3 linked regions of the Coturnix japonica genome follow. The protein of the gene in region 2 interacts with the protein of the main gene of each other region in a biochemical or structural test. Links are inferred from orthologs where the notes say so. Each region holds a gene or a part of one and is shown on either strand. Other genes may lie near its edges.

Region 1 (7,336 bases), on a different chromosome or scaffold from region 2:
AGTATCATCACCCCAACACCCTTTCACTAATACCACGCTCTGATCATCCACAATTTAAAGAGAGACATGGACCAAAGCTCCTTCCTGCCTTTAGAGTCCTTCTACCCCACATCTCCAAATGCACAAAGAAAGTCACTGGGCCAACAACTGGTAATGCAGCTTGTGAACCTGTAATATTAGAGATGTTCTGATTGCGTAAAGACAAACTCTGGCTTGGATTTGAATTAGATTGCACAGGGGAAGAAACAGATCCCTAACTACTTTAAGCTATAAAATACCTTCATATGAGGTATTAAGGCAGACTGATGCACACTGATGTGAAGAGCTTGGGCTTCTATTACTCTCTGCGATGGCCTGAAAGGAGGTTGTAGCATGGTGGGTTGGCATATTCTCCCAGGAAACAGTAATAAGATGGGACGGACTGGAGCTGGTGGAGTCACCAGCCCTGGAGGGATTCCAGAACCGTGTGGATGTGGCACTGAGGACATGGTCAGTGGGCATGGTGGGGATGGGCTGTCAGATGGACAAGGTGATTCTAGAGGTCTCTTCAACCTTAATGATTCTATGGTTTAAATTTAAATAAACGATCTCCCCCTGGCCAAAGCAGCACGTGCTATAGGAGAAAAGATGGTGAATCCCACCAGGACGGTTGCACAGAGGGGCTTCTAGGACAGTCAGACCAAAGGAAACCATTTAGATCACTCCAACCAGTAAGGTAAGATTGGGAAAGGTACAACTGGTCTCTGAAGCACACTCAGAATCAGAGAAGTTGTTATGGAAAAGCAGTTATTTATACCAGAAATCAAACCGATGTAGGCGAGATTAATTTAGCCCCAAGCAAATTAAGAATCAACTTTTATTCTGAAATAGTTATTGAACTGGGATAGGAATGAACACAGGTTCGCTTAAAGCTTTTGGCAAAAAATGAGTTAAAGTATTCTGTCTTTCCTCAGTTAATTTCCAGCATATTTCAATGCATTCAGAGTGCTTTGTGGGTTGTGTATTTGCCAGGCACAATCACATGAGCCTCACCTCCATGACAAAGTGAGACCTAACAGCAAGTAAACTGAAAACTTTGGTCTGGCTGCTACCAAGGGCACAGGAACCCCATTGTGCTATGCAGACAGAAGTTAAGTCCAGGCTTGCAAGCTTATCTCCAGCAGCAAGTATGAGAACAGAAGGACCTTTGCAGAATGCAGAAGGCTGTGATAAAAGCCTCTTTAGCACACAAGCATCTCCAAGCTGATAAGTCATGGCCCAGAAGCACTGCTGCCATCTTGAATGATGATCCCAACCCCTTGCAGCACATTCCCTCTGAGAAGCAGTTTAATTAGTTTTTACATCTAATGTTTTGCCATTGGATTCTATGGAGGGAGAAAGGAAAATCCACAGCCACCCCGAGTCAGTTGGCTTTAAGCATCTCTCACAGAGGTTAAAAACCACATGGAATTCTTTGGTCATACTCCTCTCCTACTAATGCCAGGAAAAGGTAAACAGGAACGTGCCCTTGCTCTGTGTTTACCGGCCAGAGGAGGCTGCCAAAAACACACACAGTCTGTGCTCTCAGCCTCAGCAGAAGTGGCACATTACTCACGTTGGACACATTCAGAACAGCATTTGGAACCCCTCCCATCCACACCACTGGAGAACTCCGAACACCAAACCTCCTTGTATTAGGAAATAACGTGACCGAGGGGAGGAAGAAGAGTATTAACAGTGTTACCTGCAGAGCTGTGGTCTGGATAGGAGTGGTGAGCGCAGTGAGCGCTGGGTTCTGCACCGCAGCCATAACAGGATTGCCGTCTGCCTTCAGCGTGGTCAGCACGAGGGAGTCCGTCTTGATGATCTGAGGCTGGACCAGAACCTGCATGGGGAACAGCCAGAGGTGAGGGGATAAGTGGGCACACACTGCTCTGTTCCTCTCAGTGGTCAGAGGCAGTGACAACCCATGGTGCTGACATCAGAGACCAGTAGTAACCCAGTACTCAAAACCACCAAGGAGCTGATGAAAGGGTTCCTCTGCCCTCGCCTGTAACAAGTTCCCTGTGTTAGCTGGGGGAACCCTGAGGGTACAACACATGGGTGAGGTACAGGACGGGAGGGAATGGCCTCAAGTTGTGCCAGGGGAGGTTCAAGTTGGATATTAGGAAAAATTTCTTCTCCAAAGGAGCAGTGCTGCAGTGGCACAGGCTGCACAGGGGGGTGGAGGAGTCACCAGCCCCAGAGGTGCTCCAGAACCATGTGGATGTGGCACTGAGGACACGGTCAGTGGGCATGGTGGGGGTGGGCTGGCGATTGGATCCTAGTGATCTTTTCCACCCCTGAGCTATGTGGATGGACCAGGCTCTTTCACATCCACTTACCGGCACCTGCTGGACCTGTGGTGCTGCCACCGTCTGGACTGTGGCAGGTGCCAGTGCCTGGATGGTGCCGCCGGCAGCCTGCGTCAGTACACGTGGGGCCGGCACCGCCTGCACCTGCTGCTGGATGGTGACTGGCTGCACCTGGGGGGACGTCACCAGGCTCTGCACCTGAGGCTGGAGAACTGCAAAGAGGGAGAGACGTCAGGGATGGCACCATGCTGAGGCCTTCTATGCTTTCTGCCGTGGATACGACTGACCCCAACGCTACCTTGGAAGCTCGTGGCCGCGTTCTGGTATAGGACGGGCTGCTGGATGATCCTGGTCTGGGGCGCAGAGCTGAATGTGGGGGTGATCATCACCGTCTGCTGCTGGAGCTGGGGCTGGAGCCGAGGCTGGAGCAGCGGGGCAGAGCGCTGCGGGGTCGGGGGCACCTTCACTGGGACGCTCTGCAGCTGTGGGGAGGCAGCAGGCGGAGGGAAGGGCTGCTGGGCCTGGCCATAAGGCCGCGTGGCATCCAGGGCCCCACTGCCTGTGCCACCACCACCGCCACCACTCTGGAAGGTGCCACACAGAGGGTCCGAAAACAGGTCTGGGAAGTCCCCTGCCTGGTTGCTGACGAACTGCAACATCTCTGCAAGGAGGAAAAGGAACGTTTGAGGCGGGTTGGTTCCATGGACACGGGGTCAGGACTCAGAGGCCAGCAGTGAGCACAGGAGGAAGCGGCAGCTTCAGAAGCCCCAGAGGTAGCCAGTAATTCAGTGTCAAAACACTCCCAGAGCTCGAGATCCAACATTTTCAGCTGGTTGCCATTTGTCCAATCCCCATCCCAGCTTCACGCTCGGAGGAGGAGGATGAGCAGCCCCATGACTTCAGTAGGAGCCGTCCTCCCACCCGGGGCTGCCACACACAACGCCCATCCTCTGCCCACGGAGCCCCACAGGGACACGCGGGTGGTGACTCACCCCGACTTGGGGTAATTTCAGGTATACAGGGAAACAGGGGAAACAGGCTAAAGGAAACGGCGCTGTGCAGAACTGGAGCTAAGAAATGCACGGGTACGTCTAAGGAGATCCCACGGCCAAAGCTTCCCTCCAGCTGCCTCCACTGACCACCTGAGCTCCCCCTGAGCCCATCCCAACACCAGGCGCACGGGACCCCACGCGGCACAGATACCCCAGGGGCTGTACATGGGTACGGAAGCAGCAGTGTGGTTTATGGCAGCGGACCGGCAGTAGGGCTGTCCCTACACCGCCCCACGCCGCACCCACGCCGCACGACACGGCGCTTTCCCACTCGATACACTGCCATTTTGCGAGCAGGTGGCCCCACGCAGGTAAGGGACGGACACAACGCGTTGGATGCGCTCCAGCGCACTCCGTGCTTGGACACAGGGCCCCCCCGGGGCACTCGTTAGGATCGGCGCTAATTACCGCTTCGTCCCCCGCTGCCCTCTGACGTCACGCTGCTCGCCGTGACGTCACGCGTATGACTCAAACCCGCCGACCCGCGCCGCGGGGGCTCCCCCGCACCCCCACGCAGCCCACCCGCGGCACAGCGCCGAGCCCCGCGCCCCCGCCCGGCCCCGCGCTCACCGTCAATGTCGCCCAGCGTCAGCTCGTCGCCCAGCTCGGTCAGGGTCTCCATGCCCTCGGCGCCCAGCTCGCCGCTCTCCATGTCGCTCAGCCCCGCTCCGCTCCCCGCCCGCTCTAAGCGGAGGAAGCAGCCCGGCGCCGCCGGCCCCGCGCCATCTTGCGCCGCCCCGGCCCCGCCCCCACCTGCCCGGCCCCGCCCCCACCGCGCTCCGTCACTGGGACCAGGCCGGCGGTAGCCAATAGGAGCGCGCAGCGCCGCGTGGCGTGATGGCGCGTCGGCGATCAGCAGCTGCGATTTGCATGCGAGACCACGCCCCCTGCCTTCCGCGCTGCATATTCATGAGGGGGCGTGGCCGAGCCCACGAGCGTGAGCCCCGCGCCCCGCCCCGCGCCCTCTCCATGGCAGCGAGCAAGAAGCCTCGGCGTAGAAAAAATAAGAACCGTTCTGCTTTATTCCAGAAAAACAACGCACGCCCCGTCCCCAACGCACGGCCCTGCTCCCAGCTGACGGCTGCTGCCCCAGCGCCCGCCGCTCGGGGACGGCCCCACTTTGGGGCCGTGGGACCACTGGGCCGCACCGGCTGGAAAACAAAAATCCACCCCAAAACTCACAGGAGAGGCTGACGGGGCATCCCCGGCCCCGCCGTGGGGGGGAGCGGCCGCATCGGTGCAGGTCCCGGCCCACTCGGGCCTTTACAGCTCAGACTGCGAGCGGGAGATGCGCGGCCCCTTGCGGATCTCCTTGCGCTTCTCCTCCTTCCGGCGCCGCTTCTCCTCCTCGCGAAGCGCCTTCTGGAAGGTGTCGGCGCTGGGGAAGAACTGGGGTGGGAGTTAGAAGTACAAAGGAAATGATAAATTCAGTGTTTTGAGGGAGAGTGGAAGTGGAGCACGGCATCTCCTGTGGAGCACCAACCAAAAACCCACCAGAACCCAACAAAACCCCTTCAAAACCCAACAGAAACCCAGTAAAAATCCAACCAGAACACAGCAAAACGCCCAACAAAACAACTGAAACCCAATCAGAACACAACCAAAACCCTCCAAAGCCCAACAAAAAAGCAGTAACAACCCAACCAGAGCCCGACAAAAACACAAGCAGAACACAATAAAAACCCTTCAAAGCCCATCCAAAACCCAGTGAAATCACAGAAGAGGACTATGTGGCTCGGCCACCCTACCTCAGAGTGATCAGCTTTGAAGGGGTTGCGGTAATTGGGGGACTTCTCACTGATGCCCAGCTCCTGAGCCATCTGTGAAGCAAAGCAAATCCCCCGTGGGAGACCATCACCACCGCCTCCTCCCACCCCTCATCCCTCAGACACTTCAGTCCCCACCAGCCCCAAATCCTCTGTCTTCCCACAACCCCCTGCAGACCCCCATTAGTGGCCTCAAGGCCGTACCAGCCCCAGGAGCTGGGAGTGGGGGCCCTGATCAAAGACGCCCGTCAGGTTGCAGAAGCTGATGCCCCAACGGATCAGGTTGTTCCAGTTGGAGTTGCGGTCGAAGTAGTGGTGCACAATCTTGGGGAAGCGCAGCACGACGTCCCCAAAGAAGGCCGTGTTCTCCACCACATGGGAGTAGGCTGAGGACGAGAGGAACCAGCCCCATCAGCAGCACATCCCACACGCCCCAAATGCCAGCTTCGGGGCATCACCAGCCATGGGACACCAAGGGTGGACGTGGGACAATCCCCAGGGGCAGGAGTGGGAGAGAAGACAGGCTGTGACATCTTAGCTAAGGGGGTTAAGCAATATGGAGCACTCACCATCCTTCAGCTTCTCATCCTGGGGGAAAGGCCCATCCGGAGGCACGTCTGCAGCTATGAGTACAGCCCGGGAGTCTTCCAGCACCTACAAGAGTCCTTGGGGTCACTGCCCTCTTAACCTATGGGGTGCCCCGCTGTGTTCCTCCCTTCCCCTTCCTGCTCATCTATGTGCCCTACTTCTTCTGCCCACTCTCCCCAAACCCATCCCCTGCACCACAGCACCCTGAGCCCATCCCACACTCACTTTGAAGAGTCCCTTGAGCATGATGTCAATGATTTTATACTGTTGGTTGATGTCATTGAGCTCAATGAGGTTCTTCAAGGCATTCATCTGGTCCTTGCGCTTCACCTCGAACAGCTTCTTATCTGCAGTGTTGTCAAGGGCACTGTGGGGCTCTGAGCGAGTTCACAGACTGCTCCCAGAAAGACAGCCCAGTTCTGAGAGTGGGGTTTCGGGGCCAAGAGGTGGGTTTCCAGATACCCCAGCAGGATGCTTGCTAACACCCAGCACACTGGGGCAGAAAGAAGAGCTCTGCATGAGGTCTTCTTCAGACACCACCTGAAAAACTCATTTCATTACAGGCCCTGACATCTCATTAGCAACTCCCTCCTACAGAAGGGTGATGAGGAAAGTGCTCAGCAGTGCTGGTTGATGCTGGGGCAACATTTGAGCACAGACTGTTGCTTTGTATTGCCCAAGAACTAACAGGTGGCAATATGGGGCAATATGGCATGCAGTGCCAGCCCTGCTCCAGGCAGGACCAAAGCCACATCAGGTTGCTCAAGGTCATGCCCAGCAGCCATGTGACACTTAGCTCAGCTTGTTCCCATGTTGCTAGCAATAAGCATAGCCTTAGGGCCCTCCCCTCCTCTCTCTTCCATCCCCTTTGTGCCATCTCCTCACATTCAAGTGTTCCACGGCCTCCTCAGGTGTGAGTGTGACAGAGGCTTGGCACTATGGGAAAGGATACAGATCTCCAATCCAGAGCCCATCTTCTGCTTCTCCAGGTCTGCCAGGCTGCCTTTGGGCAGCACCACTGCCAACAGGATGAGGCAGATCCAGAAGAAATCCATCTTGGAGGCCACAGCCTGGAACAAAACAGACAAAACCAGTGACAATGCAGAGACGTTCTCCACAGGAGACCTGTCAGCCCACCAGGTCCAAAACTGGTGACAAAGCAGCCACTGCCAGTTCAGAGCCAAGGTTCCCATGTCGTCACTGCACACCCATCGCCATCCCCTCCTCACACAAAGCACCAAGGCAATGTGCCGGGATCACCAAGTTGAATCATCAACCTGACCAAGTCCTATCAATAAACCACATCCATCAGTGCCACATCCACACATCCCCAGGGATGGGGACTCCACCACTGCTGAGCAGCCCCCTCCAGTGTTTCCCATGCCAAAAGCAGCCTGGTGTGTTCCTGAACCACCCGACCCCATCAGCTCACACACCATATGCACACTCCAGCCCAGACTACACCACAGAACTGAGGAATACCTGCCTGACTCTTCCCTAATGTAAGCAAACTGAACACAGGCTATGGTTCAACCATGAGGTCATGACCCAAATGACGACCCTCCCTTTCCCTAAGCCAGGCTGCCTAAGCACAGGG
Region 2 (6,859 bases):
TAGGATCGGAGTCTGATCCAGGCTGATTTTTTGACTGCACATTGGCTAAATGGGAATCCCTGAGTTCCTTCCTATGTGGGACATGAACCACGCTGGCTGCCTCCAGAAGTGATGTCCCTGCCCACCTCCCTCACACGCCAGGGCACAGCCATGTCCTGTAACATCTGCTGCAGACCTCTGATGTTTGGGTTCAGCAGGAAACACCTCTCTGTATCTCTCTGAGGAACAACTGACTGGCAGATCCATACAAAATGCACACCTGATTGTGTACCTAACTTGAGCTCACTGTTATCACCACTGTGCTCATCGGCTGATTATCCCACATCAGATGGCCTGCAGTGGCATTGTATGGATGCTGCTCCCAATCAGCCTGGCGGTCACGACAGCAGAGCAAACAATGCTCATTTTCTTTGAAGGTCTCAGCCCTCGTTTTGCTTTTGGATGTCATCACCGGGGCAGAGCGAGGTGGGGGGACGGGGCTCACCTGGTCATCCAGGGGCAGCTCACAGAACGCAGGGATGTACTTGGCCCACTCCACCAGCACCAACAGCTGCTGCTTCATGGACTCGCACACGTCGGCGATGTTGGCGATCTTCTTCCCTCGGATGTCTCCATTCATCACAAGGACTGGGGATGATATCTGGGAAGAGAGAAAGGATCCCTCAGCAGGAGCACAGACAAATCTTAGGCCTGGGAAGGTTTGGGTGCTGTGTTTAGCAGACACCAGCAGTGAGATTACCATGTTTTTGCATTGAGAATTATTCGTGACTGCAGAGGCAAACTGGGACATTTCATACACTAAGAGCTCTGCAGGTACCATCTCTCCAAGGAAGAACATCTCAAGCTCAGGCACCAGCTTCCTGCCCTGTTCCCACGCTTAGCTGGTCACCCAGCTCATCTGACAACTTGCCCTTCGTCACTACTTCATCCTCATGCTTCTGTAAGCAATTAACTCAACCCCATCACTGCCCTCCGCCTGCCCTCTCTGCTCATGTACAACATCAGCTCTTCCTGTCCTCTTCCTGCCCGCTCAGACCCTGCCACCTCCCTAAGGAAATGGAGTCCAAATGCCACCCCAGGTTTTTTTCAGGTTGCGTTACCTGGAAGTTCTCCAGCTCTACAGCTATTATTGAATAAATAAGATTGTAAAAATCTCACCATGTATTACCCTAATCAGAAAGCCCCGGAAGGCTTAGCAAATAAAACCTTCTGAGTGAGTGACCCAAGATCTTGGAGAAAACAGCTCCTCAGCAGTATCTTGTTCTAATTAGCCAGGCATATAGAAGTTAGTGTGCTGGAGTCTGCCTTGTTTAATGAATATATATGTGCTCTGTGGGAGAGCGACAGCTCCCTTACATTTGTCAATAGCTGTAGTTTTATCAGCAGACCCCACTCGAACCCTCCACCTCGTGTCACTACAGGACTCAGGGCCCCAGGAATGCCCGTCCCTTGTAGGTCTGGTGACTCGAGACCCCATGATCTCACCTCTCTGGGAGCAGCACCAATGTTATTTTCAGAGGGTATGTAAATACATTAGGACCTGTGTAGGACGAAGTGAGACATGGGATGAGCTTGGACGTGCCACTGCTGTATAGGTTTGGCCCACAGCCCTTCTGGCATATCCCCCCTTGAAGGGGGTGTCCTTACAGCCATCCCTAGCATAGAGCCCTGTCCTGGGGGCCATCTGCAGGGCCACATGAACACGGACTGCCACTCCAGCTTGAACCCATCTTTGTTTTCATGAGGAAAAAGGGATAGATGTTTAAATAGTTGTTTTCCATTTGGTGAATGCTCAGGATGTGAGCTTTGGCAGTACGCTTGTGGAAATCAGGAACTTCAAGCAAACACTGGAAGGAATATCTACATTAAAGAAAAAGAAGCATGAAACCGATTGCTCATAAAACTGAGCAGGCAACCTGAAATCAGGAGTTCCTGACAGGCACTGGGGATGGGAGGCTGCCTGTGCAAGGCCACAGCTCCTTGGATTGCGATCACTGCCCAGTTCTCTTCCAGCAGAAATCAGAGCAGAACAGACCATTGGCTATTATTGCAGCACAGTTCCAGGAGCATTGAAGGGCTGGTTTCAGGTAATGGATGCCTTTGAGAAACCAGTGTTGAGTTGGCAGATAAGTTGCTTAGAAAGGAGTTGGTAATTTGAAGACTCTGCTGTTAACTACTCGGCAGCCCTAGTGCCTGATGCTTTGTATTGGCCAAAAAGGAAAGAACAGGTACCTGTTGTGCCAGGACTTCTGCCTGCAGTAAGACATTGATGGAGGGCAAGCTGCTGTCTTCATAACTTGATCTTCGGGTGCTGATTCGGTCCCGTTCATTTTGTACAGCTGCAAGAGAGGATTTTGGCACAGCTGCAGGTTGTTCATGGAAACACACAGCAAAAGCTATCAGAGCCTCACAGCGTTCCCTTTCGCAAGGCTTTGGACCACTTCCTGAGCTGCAGTTTCCCAGCTTCCCTGCCTGCCAAGGCAAAGGTGCAGCTGTGTCTGGTTTGTGACGTGATGCCTGCAGGAGCTGATTACGTTTGGTCCTTCTTTTTTCACACTGTCTATACTTGGCTTTGTGGGGACTGGGGTGTTCCAGAACCCCAGCACTTGGCTCAAAACCTGCTGAGCTCAATGGGAGAGTTTCATCTCAAGGGATCTGTTTCTCAGTGTTTTGATTTCAAGGTATAGGATCTGTTTCTTAAGGGAATGTCTGAGAGTGCGGCTGTGCTCATGCAGGCAGCCCATAGCTTATATGTGAAATCAAGCAGCCAGGTATGTGCACAGCTATTTTATCTGTCCGTGCAACATCTGTGAGCTGCATTTAGGAAGCTCTTGTGCTGCGTAGGTGCAGTTTGCAAACATCTCTCTCAGCTTCAATAAGGAAGGAAATGCAGAATAGCTCCTATGCATCTATGCAGAGCCACAGAGCACCCTTATACCTTAATGTAGAGAGAGCCCAGGCAGGTATGAGCCCAGCATTCCTCCCTACTTGGTGTGCTCTAGAGAAGGGCCTGGGCTGTGAGTCTCTCTGTGCCATGGGGCTGTGGGTTGGCCGTAACTCACCACAGCCAAGTCAGTCACCCAAAGCCATCTGCTCAAACAAGGTATTGATCGATGGCAGGGGAAACAGAACAGTCTCTGCCTTAGGCCGGCGGCTCTCTGGATTGATACGTTCTCAATGTATAAATCTGCCTGATAAAAAGCAATAATGAGGCTGGGCCAGAAGCAAAGCCCTGCAGTCAGCGGCTGTAAATAGGAGCTCTCAAGGTTATGCTGCTTGTTATCAGTAGCAGGCCCCCGAGTTCAGTCACGCCATGATGTTTTCCAAATGTTTGCTCAGTATTAGCTGGTCATGCACCTAATGTAACTTCTATTGAATATTAACAGACAGCAGCAAAGCTCCGGGCATGGGATGAGCGGGCTCTGCAGGGAGAGGAGGATTCCTGTGTTCTAAAGGAAAGTCAAGCCCAGTTCCTTGCAACACCTCATTTACTGTAATAGGAAGACGTGTTCCTGCTCAGAGGCCTTCCCGCAGGCTGGCATCCTTGGGGCAGGACTTTTGTTTCTCCTCCAGCAGGGCCAGCAGTGGGGCTACTAGCATGACAGGGCCACCGGCAGCCCCAGGTGTCCCTGCTATGGCTGATGTATCAGATACAACTCAGCTCTCTGCACAGGGCCCTAAAGGACCTACATCCTCATGAGCAAACTGTGATGCAAAAGGGTTGTTGCACGCTTTGCTGGAGCCACCTGTCCAGACATGGATTTGTAGGTGACACAGCAGTTCTCCCAAAGTGCTCCTGAATGACTCAGGCCTCTTCTGAGCTTCGTGCATCTCAGTGTGAGAAGCTGAAAGCTGTGGATGTGACTTGTGGGTACAAGGTGGGGGGGGGTGGTCAGTTCTGGGACATGGGCATGGGCTGGTGGCTCTCTCTTGGCATCTGAATAGGGCCCCTGGAACTGAGATTGAAGCTTAACTGAGTGCAAGGGCTCTGTATGGCTTAAAGTGGGCAGCTGGACCTGCCTGGGGCTCATGGAAACATCCAGCATCTCCCTGTCCTGCCATGAGGGAGGGCTGGTCTGTGCTGAGGGCAGGGAGGGGAAGGCACCCACCTTCCTTCTTCATCCCTGCTCGGAAGCACTTCTTAAGCCTGCAGTATCGGCACTGGTTTCTTTTGTCTTTGTCTACCACACACTGCCTGTTAAACCTGGGGAGAAACAGAGGAGTGAGGAGCAGTGAGACTGAGCCTGCGAGAGGGGAGGGGGAGAGGGGAGGGGTAGAAGTGGGCTGAAGTCCCCACATCTCTCCAAGGCAGTGTTGGCTCCAGGAGGTTCTTGCTGACCTCTGGACAGCATCGCTGGCACACAAGCAGCTCTGAGCTGCCTGTGCTTCAGAGAGGAGATGGCAAGCACCCAGCTCCTTCCCTACCCACTTGTATCACCACATTGATTGCAGATGACGGTGCATTACACTGATCTCCCGTATGCAGCATAAGCCTGGTAGCCATTTGCAGCATGAATTTCACTTGCAAATATGCTCTGATTAGCTGCTGATTGATCAAGCTTGCAAAGACAAAGGCATACAGATCTATGAAAGGGCTCCCAGCCATGCAGAGTTCTGTAGCTCTGGGAAGGCCTGTTTGTAACACACTTTTGAAAGCCCCAAGCTAAGATTTGCTCAAATGGATGCCAGAAAGCAGATCTTTAAGCACTGTCATAAAAGATCTGGTGTCAGGAGAACTGGGAGCCTTGGCTTTTCCCACTAGAGCTGTGGGGAGGGGTCTTCTTGGACAGACAGCCTAAACAGCCCTGCCTTGCAAGCAGCCGTGTGCTTCACATGCACTAAGTCCAGAGCTTATCGCCAGAGGATGAGGTCAGGGAAGACACTGGAGGATACAGAGGAGATGAAGGGCCATGCTGCAGCACTCAGCTTTGCTGCACAGCTGCTGGGTGCTGTTTTGTTCCCCTCTGCCCTTACCTGCAGGAGTACATGTGGTTCTTCCTCACACTCCTCCTGAAGAAGCCTTTGCAGCCATCGCAGCTGGAAGCCCCATAGTGCTTCCCTGTGGCACGGTCCCCGCAGATGGCACACAGTGCGCTCACCCCAATGCTGTTGGAAGTGTTGAGGTTGGCTGCTTCTGATGGAGATGTGTCTGCTTGGGAAAGGACACAGCAAGAACACAGTGAGACAGACAGCTGACAACTCCTAACTCCTTTTCCAGCAAGTTACCAAAGAACTGGGCAGCTGCAGCAGGTCATAAGAAGTGGTGGGTGCTCCGGGTGTCCCAAGTCTTTGCATCTCGAATGTGCTAATGCTGCTGCTGCGCCAGGGTGAGCAGCTCTTCCCAAAGGCCCGACTCCAGCAATGCCTTCAGGATACACAGAAACCCGTTTGCAGCTGTCACAAAGCACAGCCAAAATTCCTGGGGGATTTGCAGATGCTTTGGGCCTCTGCAGTATGGCCAGAGAACGAGTTGGTGCAGTTTGAGCTGAGGTTTTACAGCTTGGGGTGAGCTGCTGGTTTGATAGCGAAGTGTTGGTGTTACTGCACTGAAAGAGGCTTCAAGAGGCTGTTAGTGCACAATAATTGCATATGGCTTCAGCTGGAGAACTCATGGACAAATACCCACCATGTGAGGAGGGACTGACTGGGACAACCCAGAAAGAAAGGACAGCACTATAACATGGCGAAGGCTGTATGCTGGGTACCTTCCAGAGTATGGGATGTGAGATGCACCCTGCAGTCCTTACAAGCTGTAAGGGGACTGGTATGTGTAGTGTGTTTTTGGGAGGGTGGGGAATTGCAGCAGCCTGTGTAGGAGAGAACACCTGAAAGGCTCAAAACCATACAAGCCCTAGACTAAAATCCCTCCGGCAAGCCAAACAAACCCCAAGGCTGAAGGGATCAGCTCACTATTCAGTTGATCTAATTGTCCCCTCCCAAGCACATTTTCTTGTATCAGCATGGGACTCAGAGGAAATCCCGTTTGCAAATGATACACCTAGGATCTACAAAGCCATAGAAACCTACTGAGACTTTAACACCGGAATATGTCAATCCTAACAGCCCTCTCAAAGGACAGCAGTGGAGATCAGCAGGCCAACAGAGGGTCAGAGGATGACAGAATAGCAAGGAGGACCTCTCAGGCACTGCTCGTGACCCAGCCTGCATCCCATAGCACAGAGGTGGGCATTGTACAACCAACAGGGCTCCCAGAGAACATTCACCTTGCATTTCTGAGGGCCTGGCAGTCACTTTGAGGGGTGAGCACTGACCTCCCCAAGGCTATGGGGAACAGCTCAGTGCTCCTCATCTCCCCTCTCACCTTCTCCTTCCCCACACCCCCATTGGGTTTGGCAGGGATGCAATTAACACTTACCCAGGAGGGCCGCATTTGCTCCCACCTGGCTCCCATCAGAGAGGGGCTGCAGAAGGATAAATGCTCTGAGAGGGCTGGTCCCAGGATATGGGGGGTGCCTTTGCTGACTGGGAACTGTGAGTTGTAGAGGGTTAAGGTAAGTACATCAGGTGTAGGGCTTCAACTTTAGTTTCTGCTTAGCAGGAAATGGGTTGAAGTGGGCTCTGCAGCAGGATGTACACAACCTCCTCATGCTGCCCCTTGATGTAGATGTGTGGGTACAAGTGACCTGGGGTGCCTGCTGTGATCCCAGCAGTGAGCTCATGCAGGGCATCTCCACCAGCTCTTTCAGCAGCTCTCACTTCCCTGCCTGCTTTCTTTCTAATTCCTCACATCTTTCCTCTATTGCTCTCCTGAGTCACAGTTTGCTCTCTCCAGGCCCGGCACACCCTGCTGTACTGCAGGGTTGAGGAGCTGTGTTCCTGTGCCAGCTCTGGAGGCTCC
Region 3 (7,480 bases), about 4.4 Mb from region 2:
GCAGCCCCAGGGGAGGGATGCACTACCTACGTTACATCACATCACACATGCTTTGCAGCACCTTTCATTGCTACCGACCGCTCCTGGACCTCTGGTAACTTATTGTGTCTCTTCACATCCTAACTCAAGAAGCAGCGCAGGGCCAAGCAATGAATCTCAGTGGCTAAAACATGAGGATAACGCCGCTGGTTCCAGCTACACTGGTGATTACACTCATATAAATGCCACAATATCAAGCTGACAAACCAACCAAAATCTGAAATGAGAAATTTCAATACCATTCCCTGAACACAGGCCAAAACTCACAATGCAGATAAAGCAAATGTGTGCCAACTTCTCTCCCTTTTCACAGCAGGACACTCCCTGCAGTGCAGCCATGGGGCTGTGTGCTGTGTGCCACAAAGCAGATGGACCACAGACAGCGGCTGGGCTGCCCCAGTGGCTGCAGAGCAGAACAAGGTGCTTGGGAGGAGGATGTTGGATGCTGCTGCCTCTGTTCCCCTGAGCACTCAGCAATATCAAGTTTGGTTACAGAAAGTCACTCATTAGCATTAGAGCATTTCCTCCAGCTTTCCTTACAGTAAGTGATCTGACAGAGACCTTGGGAGTGTCCAGGCACTGAACAGGTACCTTCACAGACAGCAAAGAATCCATCCAGACAACCCCGTAAAGAGTTCAGTCAACATAAAAAGGACCAATTTGATCTGATGCTTGCTCAAATGTCAATGAAGCAAAGCCCACAAGAAGGCAGGCTCCATTCATCCTGATGCACGGCTTTCCTCTATTCCCGTATTTTTCCACTACACTTCCACAGCCTTCAGGCACAAAACAAGTAAAACCTGTGTTTTTCTGAAAGATGGAAAACCATGGATGGCTGCAACAAATGTGCACGTGCATTTTGATGCACGTTGCTTAGTGGAATGTTTGCATTTTTAAGGCTTTATGAAGCTGAAGTTCGTGAGCTGTGCTTAAACTCCACAGCTACAGCCATTCTGCTGTGGACACTTCTCCATCTGGGCAACTCAGCCATTCTTAATTCAGCAGAAGCCAACAGCCTCCATCACCAAGGCTGCTCTAAAAAGAAAACCCAGTGCTAACTCCAGAGCAAGCCAAGTAACCACGTGGAGAGATCCCCATGTGTAAGAGCTGAACAGGACCCCAGGAGGTTCCCAGCCCTGCGTGAGCCCACGCAGCACAGGCACTCCTTGTAGAAGCTGCAGACTGCACGGTGTAACTAACATCAGACATTAAGGATATTGCTATCTAGAAGTAATGTACCGCAGCCTGTAATAGATAAACACCATGACAGCACTGTGCAGTTGGTAACTGTTCATTAAGGCCCATCAATGCAATTGGCAAGTAAGTAAAATGAGAAGCTATTTAACCTTAGATGCATCTTGACAAGAAACCATTTGATCTCATCTCCTGAAGGCTGTGAGAAACCCCCTTGTTAAGTAGCAACCCAGTCAATGTGTGGTGGTGACGGGCTTCTTATCTCAGGTGGAACCAATCCCCACCAGCCAAAGCAGTCTGGGCCAACAAGCCCCACATGTGGCTTTTATCCCCAAAACCCTCGCTGATGTTCATAAATGCTGGTACAACAATCAAGTATTCCTGTGACTGTCAGTCCTGAACTGAACTCTGACTGGAACCTCCACCTCTTATATAGTGCAGTACTCTTCACCAGGCTCTTCTCTGTGCAGTGGAAGCCCATTACATTTCACTAAGATTTATAAAATCCCGAGACACTGTGAAGTATGAAGAAAAAAATTAAACATAATGTAAATGGCTTAAAAGTAACTCAGGTGCTCAGGAAGGAGAACGCTTGATCTGAAGAGAAAGAAAATGACCAAAATCATGAATGCCACATTAAGCAGGGATAGCTTTTGATGAAATCGAGGTTGTTCTGAGACTCTCCTGATATATAAAAGCTTGCAGTACATTCTGCACTCTCTAAAGCTTTTGGCAAAACGAAATCCTGGAAGTATTGTCACATGAAGAGCCACACTGTGGTCTCTATGGTAAAACAGATGCAAAAGAATTAGCAGTGTATTAGTGTGGGATGGACAGAGGGCCTGAAGAAAACCTCAGAAGGAACACCTTCCTATGCTGCACAGCTATTTCTTGTCCAGTGCTATTCTTCACCAGCAAGAATAATTCTCCATGCTTTCCTTGTACCTTACAGTAAGGAAGGAGGTTTATGGGTGTGCCTTGCAGGAGTGCAGGACACGGGTTTACATGTGATGCAGGCTCTGTAAGAAACTGCCCAGAGATGGAGCCCCATACCAGTTCCCATGTCTCGGAAGGTCACGTATATTTAACTATTAAAAGAGTAAAAACTACAAAACTAAAAGGACGCACACAGGACTTGGAGAACTTAGCAGCATGTATCTTTTGGTGAGAGTAACTGAATCATTCCTTTTCACAAAATGCAGACTTAAAATTCAGACTCTCACATACACAGCTCACATCTTCATAGTTTCATAGTTTCGTGCGGGTTTGGAAGGGACCTTAGAGATCATCGAGTCCAACCCCCCGGGATTCGAGCCTCTGTGTAGCAGAGCGGCACTTCTACCACTTGCAACACAGGGGATTCGAACCCAGGGCCTCTGGTGTTGCAAAGTGGCGTCTTTAACCACTGCGCCACCGGAGGCATACATCTTCTGTTCCAGTATCAGTTTATATAAGGACAAATCAATTTAGACAAGGCACAGCTCTTCTACTGTACTTTTTAATTGCTGTACAAATCTGACCCAAAGCCCTCTGCTCCCTGAAGCTGCAGAAGGGAGCAGCCCCCTCAGTCCCAGAACGATGGCTGTCACACTGAGCACCTCCCTTCCTCAGGTGAGCTCTGCCGCACACTGCTCCTCCTTCACTTCCCTAAATACATGAAGAGATATTTACTCTGACACGACATCAAGGTCCCCATACATAGACACCAGAATTCATCTCTTGTTCCTACTTTAAGGACATTACCACCAGACTTGGAAGTGCTGTTCCAAACGCAGGAGGCTTGTCAGCAGCACCAACTAACGACACAGGACACATTGCAAGGGCAACAAGCCCTGCTGGCAGATGGTTTTTACCTATGCTTTCAGACCTCTGCAAAGTTTCCTCTAGCTCCTCTCTGTGCAATCCAAAGCCCAGCCTTCCCCCACTCCTTTCCTTCTGATTAGGCCACAAATAATTCAGTGTCACACATCATCCCGAGGGAAGCCTTCAGCTACCAAGATGCACAATCTAAGCCATACACAGGCTGTGGGGGCTGAAATGTCACCTGTGTGGGGCAGCTGCTGCTGCAAAACAACTGATTCACTCCGAGGCCACCAAAAGTTTGCAAACAGGGCAGAGCAAGAGGCGGACAGAACACACAGCAACCACTGCCTCCATAAAGCAAACATGACAGAAGTTCCACCTGTCAGCCAGATGGAAAACCTCTCACCTGGAATACGGGGATGGACCTCCCCTGCCTCAGGTCTGTATATGTCTAGCATTATTTATCTTTCAATTTCTGCCCCTTTGCTTTCCCAATTCTAAGCATTCTTTCCCATAGCTTCTGCTCTGGCCAGAGTTAAGGAACAAGTTTGTCTGAACACAATTTCTGCTATGCAGACTCTCAGCTTTAAGCCCTGCTGTTCATCCAGTGGGAGCTCCCTGTACATCGTCGCATTTGTATTTCTCAATAGAGGCCACATGGTTTTGAAAGAGACACCAACACCAAGTTCCCTGCCCTTCAGAGGGGCACCAATGACCTGTAACAGCTCTATTTCCACTGCAATCCAACTGTTACAGCCACCTTCGCTCCTCAATGTCCTTGGCAGCAAACCTTCTGCCTTTGCAAAACTCTTAAACACACTGTATCTGTGTAGCTGCAACTCCAGTTTTCTTCCAAAAGCAATCAGTACAGTATTCAAAACTAAAAACATGCTGGAAACCCATTCAATGACCTAGTTATGAGTTTAAGACGTTTAACATCTGCTACAAAGGTACGCGATCTTTGGCAGTACCACAGCTAAGAACTGAGCGATAGTACAAATGTTCATCGGAACGCTATCGCCCCATGTTTCAAGCATTTAAGCAGCTGAAAAGTGAAAGCATTAATACTCAGTTTACAAACGCAGGTAGAGGCCTGGCTTTCTCATGTTCTTCCACACATTTCAAAAGAAGCAGCTATTTCTTTACTAGAACAGCATAACATTACTGCACACTGCCTGATGTAAGCAGCGAGACCCACAGAGCGGGCCGAGCAGCCCCCGACCCGGGGCACACAGCTCAGCACCGCTCCTCCCGCACCAGCCAGGGGAAAGAAAGGGAGGTCGGGCTTTCTGAAAGAAACCGAACTTGGAGAAAGGCCGGGACACACCGAGACTACAGGACCAGAAGATCGCTACGCTGGAGAGTTACAGAGAAATTCAAACAAAAGCTGGGGCTCAAAGAAACGTCAGCGCACCGTCACTGACATCTTCGTGACACCCGCCGAAGAACCGACCCCAGAAACAGCGCCCGAGCCGACAGCGGCTTCAGGCGGCTTTAGCGAGAGCCGCTTTCCTCCTCCCGGGGCTGCGCACCGCCGGCTGGGCCCGGCCCGAGAGCTCCGCAGGCCGCGGTGCGGCCGCAGCTGCGGGCGGAGCCCCGGGGCTCGGGCCGCGGCCCGAGAGGGGCCCGACGACGCGGCCCGGCCCGGGGCTCCCGTCCGAGGGCACCCCTCGAACGCTGCGGCCGAGCGCGGCCCGGCAACCCCCCCCCCCCGGCGGCGGCCCCGAGCACGGTGAGCGCTCGGGCGACTCCGCGCCGCGTCGGGCCGGCTCGTCCCGGCCCGCTCCGCTCCGGGCCGCCGCTTCCGCCCCGCCACCCCCGTCCCGCCCGTGCCGCCGAGAGGCCGCGGGCCGCCCCGCCCTCACCTGGTGCCGGTGTCGCCGCTCCGCCGCCGCCGTGACCCGCTCCGCGACCGCGCGGGGGAGGGCGAGGAGCGCCCGTGCGACCAGGGGCGAGCGGAGCCCGCGCCCCGTGACAGCGGGGGCGGGAGGTCGCGGTGGGCCCTGGGGCGCCCGGACACCCTCCGCAGGCCGCCGCTCCGCCTCCCGCCGCTCCGCCGCGCGCCACGTGACCTCCCGCCCCGCGCCGCCCGCGCCTGCGTCCGAGCGCGCTGCGCCGGGAGGGGGGATCCGCCGGGACGGGGGGTTCCGCCGTGCGGGACGGAGCTGCTCCGCGCTCCGCCGTCGCCGCCCCGCGGTCTCCGCTCTCCTTCATCGCCGCTCCGCGCCGAGCGGGCGCTGCCGGCGGCATCGCGCGGCCCCGGTCCCGGCCCGCGCACTGGGAGCCGCCTTCCGCGAGGCGTCCGCGGGGCCGCGGCGCCGTCCCTCCCGCGGCGCTGTCGGAACCGGGTCCGGCCGGGCCCGGGGGAGCGGCCGGCGCTGCCTGCGGGGCGCTCTGGGGAGCGGCCGCCATCTTTGCCGGGAGGCCCCGGCCGCGGGCGGTCCCCGGGCTGGCGCCGAACGCCGCCGAGTGAAGAAGCCGCTCTGAGGGCGCCCGAGCCCGGCACGGCCTGCGCCGTGTGCTGCAGGAGTCTCTGCAGACGTTCGAACCCGCCTGCGTGTCTTCCCGTGCCACCTGCTCTGGGAGCCTGCGTTCAAAGTCGGCCGGGTCCGGGGCAGCCCCCGGCGCTGCGGCTGTGTCAGCAGCGATACTCGGCTCCTGCCGCACGGCGGGAGCGAGGCCTGCGCTGCTGAGGGAAAGGTGTAACGGGATGGAGTCGTGCGGAACGGCACTAGAATGTGGGGATGCTTTTGAATAACGGAATGCTTTGGTCCCCGAGCAGAGAAGGGGCACACGGGGCTGTCTGGCAGGATTTAGCGTGCGGGGCACTGAGACCCGCAGGAGTTCACGTCATATCCTGCAAGGCTGAGTGCACGTGGGCAATGCCGAGCTCACACCGCCGCGGTGCCGCTGCAGAAACGTCACTTTTTCTTCTGCCGGTCGCCGCTTTCATTGAAGAGCACCCATGTTCCGCTGGTAAACAAAAGCAGCACGTGGCAGCTGCTGTGTAAGGCCACTACAATGACCAGGAGTCCCTTGTGAAAATCCAGTCTTTGGTCCTTTAAAAAACCGCACAGTTGGCACAGCAATGTGGGCAGGTCCTGCTGTGCTCCCTGGGGTGCACGGCCCCCAGCTCACTGCTGGGCACAGCCCCGATGGACCCACAGAACGGCACGACAAGAGGAAACCTCGGTTTGTTTGCAGAACGTGTGAAATGCAGCTGTCCCACTTGTCATTTGCTGCTAGAGCAACACGGAACAAAATAGGATTTCTTAAATGGATGTATGAATCCATTCCATGGGAAAGCAAACCACCACCGTTATTGGATGACTGATGCTTCTGCCAAGTAATTTTGGTGTGTGGAAAGCTGCGAGCAGGCTGTTTATGCAGCACTGGCAGCTCAGACACTCCCTGCTGAAGGACAAATTGCTCAGCAATTCTTTGCTAGGGGGTTCTTCTGCTCGTGCCTCTCTCCATGTATATCTGCCCCGGTGCCTGAGGTGTGGGAGCTCCCTGCACAGCCTTCGTGCTGCCTCTCCCCCAGCGGAGGCACACAGAGGTTTGGGAAGAAGCGTGGGGGCATGGAGTTGTGAAGAATGGGGCTGGGGGAGGCAGCAGAGGATGGGCACAGCCCACAGCATGGCTTGCAGTTGCGCTGGTGGTTTGGGATTCCAGCTGGGACATTAACTTGATGCTGGGATCAGCATGTGGCAGGCTAAGGTACATCTGTGTCCTAGAGCTCAATTCCAAGTCTGAAGCCTTGTGAATCTGAGTCCTGGGGAAGAAACCCTCCCAGACCCTGATAAGTTCCTCAGAAATGTCAGAAGGTGAGATGGGGAGTTTGCTTGCCGGGAGCTTTTCACATGAGGTGTTCTGGGGGCTTTGTATTACTCTGCTAATGTCTTTAGAGCTGGAAGCAAGAGGAAGCTGAAAGGCTTATTCAGTATCTGAAAAGTACCTGCCTTTCTTTCTCATCTCCATAATTTCTTCTGTACAAAGAGGCACTTCTTTACCCATATATGTTTAACTTTCTCCCCTTATCAGCTTGATCTTCCCCAGAACATATTCCCCTACCCCGCACACAGTCAGATCAGAATGCCCTTCTCAGAAATCCCCCTCCAAATCCCGCTGTTTGTCCTCACTAGAAATTAGTGCAGAATTCTTTTTATTTTTCCTTTCCTTGACTTTATATTATCTATGTTAACACAGGGTTAACCACAGCCAGCAATGACAAATAGAGCATTATTCTGCCCAGATTGAGATTTCAGGCAGTGCAGTATTGGTGCGTCTCATTAAGGTTTGCTCTGGTCACCCGAGTGCTGTAACCTTCTTATGTGGAGCAGGGAGGCTGTGTGCCACTCACTCCGGGTCTGCAAAAAGCCCTTCTTTCACCAGCAGCTCCCTGCCTTGCACATCCATTTAGAGCTTCATAACACCATTTCTG

What was found.
Region 1: the proteins of HNF4A (region 2) and SREBF2 form a complex in vitro, tested with the Homo sapiens proteins (2 studies listed by BioGRID and IntAct). The link is inferred for Coturnix japonica from reciprocal best matches to the Homo sapiens genes HNF4A and SREBF2.
Region 3: the proteins of HNF4A (region 2) and NCOA6 form a complex in vitro, tested with the Homo sapiens proteins (2 studies listed by BioGRID). The link is inferred for Coturnix japonica from reciprocal best matches to the Homo sapiens genes HNF4A and NCOA6.

What each region holds. Positions count from the first base shown.
Region 1 is NC_029516.1:45,157,892-45,165,227, forward strand, and holds the start of SREBF2 (sterol regulatory element-binding protein 2), read right to left. Parts: upstream 4,137-7,336; 5' UTR 4,038-4,136; coding exon 3,956-4,037; intron 2,995-3,955; coding exon 2,632-2,994; intron 2,546-2,631; coding exon 2,364-2,545; intron 1,865-2,363; coding exon 1,724-1,864; intron 1-1,723. Other genes in the region: CCDC134 (coiled-coil domain-containing protein 134), read right to left, coding at 4,649-4,774, 5,134-5,205, 5,356-5,537, 5,721-5,805, 5,965-6,086, 6,692-6,809.
Region 2 is NC_029535.1:4,768,085-4,774,943, forward strand, and holds part of HNF4A (hepatocyte nuclear factor 4-alpha), read right to left. Parts: intron 5,153-6,859; coding exon 4,975-5,152; intron 4,205-4,974; coding exon 4,110-4,204; intron 2,340-4,109; coding exon 2,233-2,339; intron 641-2,232; coding exon 485-640; intron 1-484. UniProt on the Homo sapiens protein: Transcriptional regulator which controls the expression of hepatic genes during the transition of endodermal cells to hepatic progenitor cells, facilitating the recruitment of RNA pol II to the promoters of target genes. Activates the transcription of CYP2C38.
Region 3 is NC_029535.1:416,002-423,481, reverse strand, and holds the start of NCOA6 (nuclear receptor coactivator 6), read right to left. Parts: upstream 5,097-7,480; 5' UTR 4,902-5,096; intron 1-4,901. UniProt on the Homo sapiens protein: Nuclear receptor coactivator that directly binds nuclear receptors and stimulates the transcriptional activities in a hormone-dependent fashion. Coactivates expression in an agonist- and AF2-dependent manner.